Linked DNA regions of Arabidopsis thaliana. The protein of the gene in region 1 interacts with the protein of each later gene in a pairwise test. Each region holds a gene or a part of one and is shown in the gene's direction. Other genes may lie near its edges. The genes, in order: PUB45 and RK3.

Region 1 (6,447 bases):
TTGGTTATCAAGTTCTTTCTGAATTTCCCCCCCCCCCCCCTTAAAATTCCTCTGTTTTTTTTTTGTATCAGTGATAGATTTGCATATGCTCATTATCATTAAAACTAATTCCTCTGTTTTAGTATCAGTGATAGATCAATATGTCCTTACAAAATTTATATTATTTTAGCCGTCGTTTTAAAATTCTTGTATTTTTCATTGACCACATCTGAGGTTTAAATTGTTACTCGTGGACAAATTTCCGGACGTTAGTACACTTTATAATGACTTATTTGGTACGTCTCATAAATAAATAAGAAGAGGAGAGCCTCAACTAATTAACAAATAGTAATAAATTTGCAGTCCTATATATGTACGATCCAACAAACCAAAAGTTCTAAACGATTCTCAGACCAAACTCAACTTTTTTGTTGCTAATAGGCGATAGTTCATTTATATTTACAAAAAAAAAGGACAATGTTAACCTTTAAAAAAAAAACGACAATGTTAACCTTTAAAAGTTTTTAAATATTATCTGTGGATTAATTTAATATTTTATGGCAAAACTGGAAAATAATGTCTAAATCATTATAAATTTTGGGATATAATAATTCAAAAAAAAAGCGAACATGGTTGCCAACAAATAATTTCTGAAAAAAACATAAAAAACAAAAAATAATAAAGGTTGATTCAAAGAATATTAGTAAGGGAGAAGGTATTATTGTAATTTAGGATATTCAATGTAGAGATCTAAATAGCCGACATATGCATGTATTGTCGGCGCGTGTCGGCCGTCGAAGTCGGCAAATCTCTTTCAACTCTCCCTCTACACAAATTCAAACATTAGTGTTTCAGTACTATAGATTTAAAGTTCAATTCAAAATAATATAAAATGACTACAAATCAGAGTCGATTTATTCATATTTAACTAATTCTTTTTACCAACATTTCAAAATTAAACCAATGACCATCATTTTGGTTTATTTTTAAATTATAATTCCTAGAACATTCGGTAATTAAAAAAGGAAGACAATATTACTATTTACTACAATATGTAGCCTTTTTTTTGACATCGAATGCATTGTCATTTGTCAACAGTACACAGTACACATGCTAAGAAAATATGGCTGACGATAAACTTCTTACATCAACCGAGTCCACTCGAACCCGGTGACAGAGAGACAACCAATGGACTAAGACCACTGGCCCACAAGTCCTAGTCAATGAAGGTGAACCTAGTTGGTTTACAGGAAGAAAACACGATGCAGTTTTTTTTTTTCGATAAAGAATATAATATGAAAGACGTGTTTATTACAATATGAAATGTCGGTGAAAATTGGACCTCTCATTGCCCCTTCGCCATACTTTATTTATTTTTATTTATATGATTAGTAAAAAAAAAATGTCAAAAAGCTTTTTATTCTACATCATTGTATCTATTTTATTACTCATTTTCAACTATCAGTCGACCAAAAAAGAAACTATATAGTATACAAGCCGAAAATCCAATATTAGAATGAAATGTTTTTTGGTAAATAATGATCAACAGTTTCAGTTTCAATTGAAGAAGACTTGGAAACAAAACAGAACAAAATTTGATTCACTAAACTACATTGCATTTTGACTTTAAACGGGCAACACCATAATGATATGTTTTTATCGCATCCAAGAAATCGAAATTATGAGTATCTTAAGAAGCTTTTTTCTTAATAATTAAAATGTCTCCTAATAATACCGTTGCTAAATTCAAATCTAGTAATACTTAAAAATCATTTGAAAAATTAATTGAGTTGATTAATGATTAAACAAATAACAGAATCTTTTTTCTTACAAAGAACATAATTAAAAACAAAACAAAACAAATCTGTTGTGTGTACTTGCGACCTTGCAATTGCCACTCGCAAGTTTTGGCTTTATTTTGACTTGAGAAGAACTTCTCCTCTTTTTTTCTTTCACTAAAATATTTATTTTTATTTTCCTTCAAAAAATCTCCATTCGGTATCAGCCATAGCCAAACCTCTCTTCTCTCTTATTGTTGGGATCGACAAATTTTGCCTTGATTAGCTCGGAAACTTGTAAATCAGAGACCCTCGTAGAAACTACCCAGAAACAGCATCTCCAAGGAACAAATTAATCATTATACTAATGCCTCTGATGCTCTTCTTTTGATTTTGTGATCGACTTCTCTTTATTAAGTCTACACCTACCAGATGCAGATTATAGGTTCATTTTTTTGGTACGTATGTTCCTCTGTTTTTCACCCGATTCAAAAAATGGATTTTTTTTTGTTTATCTGGGTATTTGCTGGAGGAATTAATCAGATTGCTTTTATGGGTTTTTTATTTTTGTTCTTGTGTTCTGATTCCCTCTGTTTCTTGACAAACAAGAATCTTCCTTTGTTGATATTTGGGGTTTTGGTATTCTCATGATTTTGCATCTAATTTGTTTGTTGAAATGCCCCAACTAACCACCTTTTGTTGCTTTTTCGTATTCTTTGCTCTGTTCTTATATACTTTCTCTGTGCAGAACACATTGCATTTTTTAGGAAACACTGATCTATCTGGCTTGTCTGCTATAGATTAGTTTATTTGTCAACTTGTCACTGATTCGGTTCTTTTTCTTCTTGTAGTATTGAACTTTAAGCCGATATAGAGTTGTTGTCATAGATATATACAGCGAGTTATTGAAGCAATGGATGTTAATGAGGTTGAAGAAAATTTCTTTGCCCCTGGTGATGCCAAGGTATCTTAATCAGACCTTTTTTCCAATAATGTTTTTGTTGAGATATCTCCCTAAGACATTAAATTCTTGGTCCTGTAACTTGATGTCTATATGTATCCGTCTTTGTTTCAATTAATACTCTCTTCTGGTTCTTGATTTTGCTCGATTGATCCTGTGATGTACAATAAAATATGTCTAACAGATTCTTGGTCCTGTGGTTTTTAAATACGTGTTACCTATTGCTGTAAGTGTAAGGCATTGGCTAACTGATTCCTGTTTCAGCTACACGGAAAAATGTGCAATGCCCTTTCAGTGATCTACTGCAAGATCATGTCTATTTTCCCGTCGCTTGAAGCTGCTAGGCCGAGAAGCAAATCTGGAATTCAAGCTTTGTGTTCACTTCACGTGGTTTTAGAAAAAGTGAAGAACATTCTACGCCATTGCACTGAATCTAGTAAACTTTATTTGGTAAGTTTTCTGTTTAGTTATGTCTTAAAGATTTCAGAACTAATCCAGTTCTTCTTGTGGAGATTCTCGCTAACTAGCTGGTTTGACATGTAGGCTATAACAGGGGATTCAGTAGTTTTGAAATTTGAGAAGGCGAAATCATCTCTTACAGATAGCCTTAGGCGTGTTGAAGATATAGTCCAACAGTCTATTGGATCTCAGGTAGTTAGTTCTTCGTGTTCCCGTATCTTGGTACTCTTGTTTTCTTCTCTCACAGCAAGTGAATGGAAAGTTAAAGCAGAGAAGCAATATCTCTAGAGTTCAGTGCTTTTATTTTAACCTGTATATCCTACTTTGCAGCTTTTGGAGATTTTGATGGAGTTAGAGAACACCGAGTTTTCACTTGATCCAGCAGAGAAGGAAATTGGCGATCAAATCATTGGATTGCTGCAACAAGGGGGGAATTTTGAGAGCTCATCTGATAATAATGAACTTGAGGTTTTCCATCAGGCTGCTACTAGACTAGGTATCACTTCTTCTAGAGCAGCTCTCACAGAGCGAAGATGCCTCAAGAAACTCATTGAGAGGGCCCGAATGGAGGATGACAAGAGGAAAGAATCAATTGTGGCTTATTTATTACATCTCATGAGGAAATACTCAAAGCTATTCAGAAGTGAGATCTGGGATGACAATGATTCACAGGGTAGTAGTTCATTGCCTTGTTCACCTACTATCCAGGGTTCTATAGACGATGCCCATGGTCGTGCTTTTGACCGTCAGCTGTCAAAACTGAGTTCCTTTAACTTCAGATCCTGCAATAACAATAGGAGATCTTCGCAGATGTCTGTTCCGCCAGAAGAATTGAGGTGTCCGATATCTTTGCAGCTTATGTATGACCCTGTCATTATCGCGTCTGGGCAAACATATGAGAGAATCTGTATTGAGAAATGGTTTAGTGATGGACACAACACATGTCCCAAAACTCACCAGCAGCTCTCTCATCTTTGCTTGACTCCTAACTACTGTGTCAAGGCTCTAATTTCTAGCTGGTGTGAACAGAACGGCGTTCAGGTCCCTGATGGACCCCCTGAGTCTCTAGACCTTAACTATTGGAGGTTGGCGTTGTCTGTGTCCGAGTCCACCGATACGAGATCAGCAAAACGTGTTGGTTCTTGTAAGTTGAAGGATGTGAAGGTGGTTCCTTTGGAAGAAAGTGGAACCATTAAAGAGGAAGCCTGTGAATCAGAATACCAGGAAGATCAAGTTACTCTTGTTGAAAGATGTACGGAATTGTTGACCACTTTAACTGACGTGGATACCTTAAGAAAGAAATGCAGAGTTGTTGAGCAGATAAGAGTATTGCTAAAAGATGATGAGGAGGCCAGGATTCTCATGGGGGAAAATGGGTGTGTTGAAGCGTTGCTTCAGTTTCTGGGATCAGCTCTGAATGAAAATAACGCTTCAGCCCAAAAAGTTGGAGCCATGGCTCTCTTTAACTTGGCTGTGGACAACAACAGGTATGTGAGCAAACGATGTCTCGTTTTCTCTCTCTCAATGATCAAGCACCTAACTTAAATTAGTCTACTAACACATTCGGTTATCTTGAGAATATTGCAAAACTATAGATGGGCTAAGATTTCAAGTTTTCAACAACAAAATCAAGTGGGTTATTCTTATCTTGCCAACTGGAAGATTATATCTCATTTCCGTTGTAATTTTTTGGGAATTTCAGGAACAAAGAGTTGATGCTAGCATCAGGAATTATTCCTTTGCTGGAGGAAATGCTCTGTAATCCACATTCCCATGGTTCAGTGACGGCAATTTATCTGAACCTCTCGTGTCTTGAAGAAGCAAAGCCCGTAATAGGTTCGAGTCTGGCAGTTCCTTTCATGGTAAATCTTCTTTGGACCGAGACTGAAGTCCAGTGCAAAGTCGATGCCCTTCACTCCCTTTTTCACCTGTCCACCTACCCTCCCAATATCCCCTGCCTTTTATCTGCTGACCTTGTCAACGCCCTTCAATCACTCACTATCAGTGATGAGCAACGGTGGACAGAAAAGTCCTTAGCTGTTCTACTTAATTTGGTATTGAACGAGGCAGGAAAAGACGAGATGGTTTCAGCACCTAGCCTTGTGAGCAATCTCTGCACCATTCTTGACACGGGTGAACCAAATGAGCAAGAACAAGCTGTTTCTTTGCTTCTGATATTATGCAATCACAGTGAGATCTGTAGCGAGATGGTTTTACAAGAAGGAGTGATACCTTCTTTGGTATCTATCTCCGTAAACGGTACTCAACGTGGAAGAGAAAGGGCACAGAAGCTACTGACACTATTCAGGGAACTGAGGCAAAGGGATCAAACCCATCTCACAGAACCGCAGCATACAGAAGTCACAAGCCCCGAGGACGGATTCTCTGTTGCTTCAGCCGCTGTAACAGAGACAAAACCGCAGTGTAAATCAGCCTCGAGAAAGAAAATGGGAAGAGCATTCAGCTTTCTATGGAAAAGTAAGAGCTTCTCAGTTTACCAGTGTTGAGTCATGTCTTTATTACCTTTAGTTGATGTAAAGTTGTACTTTGTTTTCCCCATCTCAAGACTTATATCTCTTTTTGAAAGTCTTGGAGGTAAAGAGAAAAGAAGCTTGTATAGGTATGTAGTTTATATCCAAGGATTTTTGGGTTCTGGTTATACAAATTGTCAAATTACAATGTACTTGTTGGGTGTAGGTTTTATAACTACTAATGAGAAATATTTTTACTCTGAAAGCAACTTTGTCATAAATTAAAGGACGAGATACGAAATTCATAAAAGATAAGACCAAGAGCCGCTGAACAAAGGAGAGGGTCTTAAGTACACTTGTGGCTTGCTTGATTTTTCTCGCTTTATTTTCTATTTTTCGATTTTCATATAATATACAGAGAAGATTTTGAACGGAAAAGGTTTAGGAAAAATGTGTTGTTGATTTGAGATTTCTCGAAGTGTTGGTGAGCGATTAGGGTTCTGTATTGTGAATCTATCGCGTCGTTCGTCGGAGAATGAATTTCGTTGTACAGAGATTTTAGACTGAACCTAAGCAGAACTTGCAGGTTACAGTTTCCTTTCGTCGATCGATTGCTGAACTTGATAGGTTCTTTGAGTGTTTCTCTGCGATATGGCGAACCTTCCGATCCTTCAATTTGAAGAGAAGATCGTGGAAACAGTGGAGAAGAATTCAGTGGTAGTTATAATTGGAGAAACCGGTTCTGGGAAGAGTACTCAGCTCTCTCAGATACTTCATCGACATGGTTACACAAAGTCCG
Region 2 (6,532 bases), on another chromosome or scaffold:
ATACTCATGGGAGATCAGAGGAGCTTGTGGATCCTAAGATCAGGGTCACATGCAGTAAGCGAGAGGCCTTGAGATGCATACACGTAGCGATGCTATGTGTTCAAGATTCGGCTGCGGAGAGACCCAACATGGCTTCAGTTTTGCTTATGTTAGAGAGTGACACAGCGACGCTCGCTGCGCCTAGACAACCAACGTTTACTTCCACCAGAAGAAACTCCATTGATGTCAACTTTGCTCTTGATTCGAGCCAACAATACATCGTTTCTTCTAATGAGATCACTTCAACGGTTGTTCTTGGACGATAAGATTCTTTTGTTTGTTCTTTTGTAAAGTTTTTTTTTATATAATTGTTGTGAAAACGTATAATATTTTTTGGTTAATTAGGATAATGGAGTAATGGTTGTTGAAACTTGAAATTTTGTTCATAAAGTGAAACATTACAAATGGGGTTTTATTACAGTATGATGTTGATATTTTGAAAAAATCACCACACTATTCTTTTTCAAAAATATCACAATGGATCAATTTACAAGTATAAACAAATGAAAACAGATAAAATATCAAAAAGCATTTATCTGAAATAAATCTTCAAATAAATCGTTTATACTATAACAAAGGTGGTAGTCTTAAAATATTTAGGTTAGTTTTGAAATGAGGATCATAATAATTGTTTTTCATTCTATTAAATATAGGTGAGTTGTTTCAAATATTGTAGGATTATTGTGTTTAATTTAATTAAAATGTGATTGATTTTTATGTATAGAGTTATTATATATAAATCAAACGAGGAACGAAGAATTATGAGGATGTTCAAAAATAAGACTTTTGGAGCGTTGACTATGGTAATTAGTACTGTTTTGATGGTGAAAAGAGTATTCGGTCTTCGTATTTCATACTTATATAATATACCTAAAACCGTGTTAACATAAATTTTCCTCTCCTCCAAGCTCCAAAGCCAAAAATCGTCAAACAAAATGCATAGGACAACATTATATTTGGTGATGAATAATTCAAATGTAGACTCATTATTAAATTGAATGGAATGATGAATTATTTAGAGTTAGAGAAAAAAAGAAAAAGTCAGGAAAACGTGAAACGACCCCTTTCTTTTTTGTCTTCGGAGAATGCGGAAATAAATTAAAGTAGGGTTTGTTTGATGAATACTAACATTGAAGTTCTTATTGGGAAGGATAAAAAAAAAATTGAGTTATTTATTACGAAAAAGAACACTGAAATTTATATAACTCTCGAAGCATGCATACAAAAGGTTGACTGATAATAAAATACGAAAAAGCAATATATTAAGTAATTTATTAAAAAAAATGGTCATCAATAATATCATATTTTGAAGAAAAATTCTGAATTTATGAAGTAAAAATGACTATTGGAAAAGGAAAGAAAGCCTGACAAAAAAAAAGAAGAAGAAGACTTTTTATTTGCTAGGTCAACTATGAATTGGACTGTACACATAGTACATAACTAGATATTTTTTCCAAATGCGAACAAGAAGACCAAGAAAAGAAAAAAAGCAAGGTAATATATTATTGACAGAAATAAAATCGGTTACGTAAGGTTCACACATTACACAAAACATGTCCGATATCTCCAATGGAAATAAACTCTCATACTTTTCTCAAGAAAGAGTGAAAAACAAAAAACTTGGTTTAGAGAAATGAGAGGTTTACCAAATTTCTACCATTCTTACACCTTCTTCTTCTTCTTCCTCTTAATTCTGTTCCCTGCTTACTCTATCTCTGCCAACACTTTGTCGGCTTCAGAATCTCTAACTATCTCAAGCAATAACACCATTGTGTCTCCTGGTAATGTCTTCGAGCTTGGTTTCTTCAAACCCGGTTTAGATTCTCGTTGGTATCTTGGAATTTGGTACAAGGCAATCTCTAAGAGAACCTACGTATGGGTTGCAAACAGAGACACTCCTCTCTCTAGTTCCATCGGAACTCTCAAAATCTCCGACAGTAATCTTGTCGTTTTGGATCAGTCCGATACACCGGTTTGGTCGACGAATCTGACCGGAGGAGATGTGAGATCTCCATTGGTGGCAGAGCTTCTTGATAATGGTAATTTTGTGCTCAGAGACTCCAAGAACAGCGCTCCAGATGGAGTTTTGTGGCAGAGTTTTGATTTTCCGACAGATACTTTACTTCCGGAGATGAAACTTGGCTGGGATGCCAAAACCGGGTTCAACAGATTCATTAGATCATGGAAATCTCCAGATGATCCATCAAGTGGAGATTTCTCGTTCAAACTCGAAACCGAAGGCTTCCCTGAGATTTTTCTATGGAACAGAGAATCACGAATGTACCGGAGTGGTCCATGGAATGGAATCCGGTTTAGTGGTGTACCGGAGATGCAACCATTTGAATACATGGTTTTCAATTTCACTACGAGTAAAGAAGAAGTGACTTACTCATTTAGAATCACTAAAAGCGACGTTTACTCGAGATTAAGCATAAGCTCCTCAGGATTGTTACAAAGATTCACTTGGATTGAGACAGCACAGAATTGGAACCAATTCTGGTACGCACCAAAAGACCAATGTGATGAGTACAAAGAGTGTGGTGTTTACGGTTATTGCGACTCGAACACTTCACCTGTTTGTAATTGTATTAAAGGGTTTAAGCCGAGGAATCCTCAAGTGTGGGGATTGAGAGACGGGTCGGATGGTTGCGTGAGGAAGACGCTACTGAGCTGTGGTGGCGGAGATGGGTTTGTGCGGTTGAAGAAAATGAAATTGCCGGATACTACCACGGCTAGTGTGGACAGAGGAATTGGTGTGAAAGAATGTGAACAGAAGTGTTTAAGAGATTGTAATTGCACGGCGTTTGCGAATACGGATATCCGGGGTAGCGGGTCGGGTTGTGTGACTTGGACCGGAGAGCTTTTTGATATCAGGAATTATGCCAAAGGTGGTCAAGATCTTTACGTTAGATTGGCTGCTACTGATCTCGGTTAGTTCATTCTCCACTATCTCTATTAGACTAAATGACATATGTTTGGTTTTCATTTTCCACATATTTACTTTTGCTAAGTAACGGTTGATAATAGTCTTCAAGATCACTTTTCAAAACATGTAAACAGTTTTATACATACTAGAAACTAAAAAGACATCATAAAAGATTTTGTCAGTAAGACTAAAAATTGATGCTAAAACTGCCCAATCAAGTTATTGAGTAATCCTATCACATTATACTAAAGATTTTCTTAAACGACAAAAGGAAGAAACGTTTTTTAAGGGTTTCAAGAATAGTAATTAACTTGGTTGTTAGATAAAGCACTTTTTTTTTGGGGTAGAATGTGAGAATGGTGTTGAATAGTGCAAGTCAATGTTATATTGTTGTTGGTTAACGAATTTGGAATTTAACAAAACGTTTTTCAGTTTTATTTTCCCTCTTTTCAAACTTCTTAAACTTGATTGAGATGTTGACGCATTCGGTCTTGGCATTATATGTGAAAACTCTTGTGATAAAGAACTAAGGTCCAATGGACTTTTAATCTTCTTAAAAGATGCAACGCATGAGTGAAACTTTTGATTACTACTATATTCTTCACAAAAACTTATCAATCTCAAGAATAATATGGTAAGGTAGATCCAAAGCCAAAAGAAATTATTTTTAGGTAGACCAATCTTTATGTTTTGTTTTTATTGGCGATAACAGTATAACGCTGTTTTTTGTTTGTTGGCGTTTATCTTTAATCAAAAGTACGACAATGTTTATTATTTTGTTAAATCATAAGACTAATACTAGTTTGTTTTATAAAATGATATTCATTTCCATGGTCGAGGTCCTAAATGTTGTGCTCAATTTGACATCTCTTTTCATTATTTCAGAGGACAAAAGAAACAGAAGTGCAAAAATCATAGGTTCGAGTATTGGAGTGAGCGTTTTGCTTCTTTTAAGTTTCATTATCTTCTTCTTGTGGAAAAGGAAGCAGAAGCGATCAATACTAATCGAAACACCTATTGGTATATCTGTAAATTTTAATTCCTTTCTTTTTGTTTGTAAATTTCTTAAAACTAATATCTTTACTGTTTTTGGTGTCTGTATGTAACAGTTGATCATCAACTGAGAAGCCGAGATTTGCTAATGAACGAAGTTGTAATATCAAGTAGGAGACACATATCTAGAGAAAACAATACAGACGATCTCGAATTGCCATTGATGGAGTTTGAAGAAGTTGCCATGGCCACAAACAATTTTTCTAACGCCAACAAGCTAGGACAAGGTGGTTTTGGTATAGTTTATAAGGTAAAAATGATTGAAAACTTAATTCATAATCTATCGCTGGACAAATATTTCGTTGTGTAACAAAATTAAGGGTTACAGGGAAAGTTACTTGATGGTCAAGAAATGGCAGTGAAGAGACTATCAAAGACATCAGTTCAGGGGACTGATGAGTTCAAGAATGAGGTAAAGTTGATTGCAAGGCTTCAGCACATAAACCTTGTTAGGCTTCTTGCATGTTGCGTCGATGCGGGTGAGAAGATGTTGATTTACGAGTACTTGGAAAATCTAAGCCTCGACTCTCATCTATTTGGTTAGTGTCTCAACTCCTTACAACTCTGTTCTAACAATTTTTCAATGTCTTTAAAAATAATGTACTCAATCCAGTGATGATTCATTAGCAGACAAATCCCGAAACTCTAAGCTAAATTGGCAAATGAGATTTGATATCATCAATGGTATTGCTCGAGGACTTCTATATCTTCACCAAGATTCACGGTTTAGAATTATCCATAGAGACTTGAAAGCAAGTAACATCTTGCTTGATAAATATATGACTCCAAAGATCTCGGATTTCGGAATGGCTAGGATCTTTGGACGGGATGAGACAGAAGCTAATACGAGGAAGGTGGTTGGAACCTAGTAAGCAATCATTCTCCAAAATATTAAAAATCTTTGTTTGAAATCTGAATTAAAAAAAAATAACTCAAAACTTTGAGTCTAATCTTCGTTATTCAGCGGTTATATGTCTCCTGAATATGCAATGGACGGGATATTCTCGATGAAGTCAGATGTTTTCAGTTTTGGGGTCTTGCTTCTTGAGATTATAAGTAGCAAGAGGAACAAAGGATTCTACAATTCGGACCGTGACCTTAACCTTCTCGGTTGTGTAAGTTAAAAACCTCTCAAACTTGATCTTGTTTTACACTCAAAATAATGATAACACTAGAAAAATTTCGATCATTATACACAGGTGTGGAGGAATTGGAAAGAAGGAAAAGGGCTAGAGATCATAGATCCAATCATCACAGATTCTTCATCAACATTCAGGCAACATGAAATCTTAAGATGCATACAAATTGGCCTCTTGTGTGTTCAAGAACGTGCAGAGGACAGACCAACTATGTCCTTGGTAATTTTGATGCTCGGAAGCGAATCAACAACTATTCCTCAACCTAAAGCGCCCGGTTATTGCCTGGAGAGAAGTCTTCTTGACACTGATTCTTCGTCGAGTAAACAGCGCGACGATGAATCATGGACAGTGAACCAAATTACTGTCTCGGTCCTTGATGCTCGGTAATGTGACTGTCAACTAGCCAATCTTCTATACTAAGATGACTAAATTGAGCGACAATAAGAATCAACTAGGAAAGATGGTATTAGTTATGTGCATAGTATTTTCTCTGTACGTCTCCGTTGCAAAGGTTACTACATGATTCAATTGTCTTAATTAAGCATGTATTCTGTAATTGCTTTATGGATAACCCAAATAGTCCTGCAGTTATAGGACATCAATGTGATATTTTGAAAGATTCTCAGACTTTCATATTATAAATTATGGCTACTAGAAGAGGCAAATATTGTTGGTTAGTAGAATTTCGGGTTGTACGTTTTGAGATTAGGTTTGTACATGTTGTAATAGATTTTTTTTTTAATAAGTACATACGTTATAAGAATTTTTTATGATCAGCAACACCTATTTCCATCGCTAACCATGGCCAAAATCCGGTGGATTTAATTTATGGGCTTTAGGAAGATCATGGGGGTATAGTGGATTTTTTGTTTTTAACTGATGACAGAGTAAATCCTTCATGGTTCCTTCATTTTAAGGTGATTTCAAATTTTCCTTCATTTCAAGGTGATTTCAATGTTTGTAGAGGCTTGATTAAAATTGTTTTAGATCATAAGGATTTTTGTGCATCAAAAGTGTTCGCAATTTCAATGTTTGGAGAGGCTTGATTAAAATTGTTTTAGATCATAAGGATTTTTATGCATCAAAAGTGTTCTGTCAAAATTCCTTAATTAACCTTTGATGAGTAGCTCGTCCTTTAATAATGATAGTTGATATACAGAATTGTGATTTATGAGCACATTAATATTGACATGAATGCTTGCTAATTTAAATTTTAAATGAGAGTTTAGAAATTTAGAATATTTAGCATAGATAATTAATTTCTTGAGAGATGATTTTTTTTGGTCGGGTTCTTGAGAGATGATTAGTGTTATATATTCGTGATCTCTTAATGGTTGTCCTTACTTCTTATTTATGCTTTGTTTCCCTAATCTTT

The links.
Region 2: the proteins of PUB45 (region 1) and RK3 interact in a two-hybrid assay, tested with the Arabidopsis thaliana proteins (one study listed by BioGRID).

Annotation. Positions count from the first base shown.
Region 1 is NC_003070.9:9,720,199-9,726,645, reverse strand, and holds PUB45 (plant U-box 45), read left to right. Parts: upstream 1-1,845; 5' UTR 1,846-2,215; intron 2,216-2,608; 5' UTR 2,609-2,670; coding exon 2,671-2,721; intron 2,722-2,982; coding exon 2,983-3,168; intron 3,169-3,261; coding exon 3,262-3,369; intron 3,370-3,507; coding exon 3,508-4,664; intron 4,665-4,879; coding exon 4,880-5,684; 3' UTR 5,685-5,913; downstream 5,914-6,447. Other genes in the region: AT1G27900 (RNA helicase family protein), read left to right, coding at 6,300-6,447. UniProt on the Arabidopsis thaliana protein: Functions as an E3 ubiquitin ligase.
Region 2 is NC_003075.7:11,388,231-11,394,762, reverse strand, and holds RK3 (receptor kinase 3), read left to right. Parts: upstream 1-1,536; 5' UTR 1,537-1,672; coding exon 1,673-2,969; intron 2,970-3,850; coding exon 3,851-3,985; intron 3,986-4,074; coding exon 4,075-4,268; intron 4,269-4,346; coding exon 4,347-4,557; coding exon of another isoform or gene 4,558-4,562; exon of another isoform or gene 4,563-4,648; coding exon 4,649-4,886; intron 4,887-4,982; coding exon 4,983-5,133; intron 5,134-5,217; coding exon 5,218-5,544; 3' UTR 5,545-5,936; downstream 5,937-6,532. Other genes in the region: B120 (S-locus lectin protein kinase family protein), read left to right, coding at 1-305. UniProt on the Arabidopsis thaliana protein: Involved in the regulation of cellular expansion and differentiation.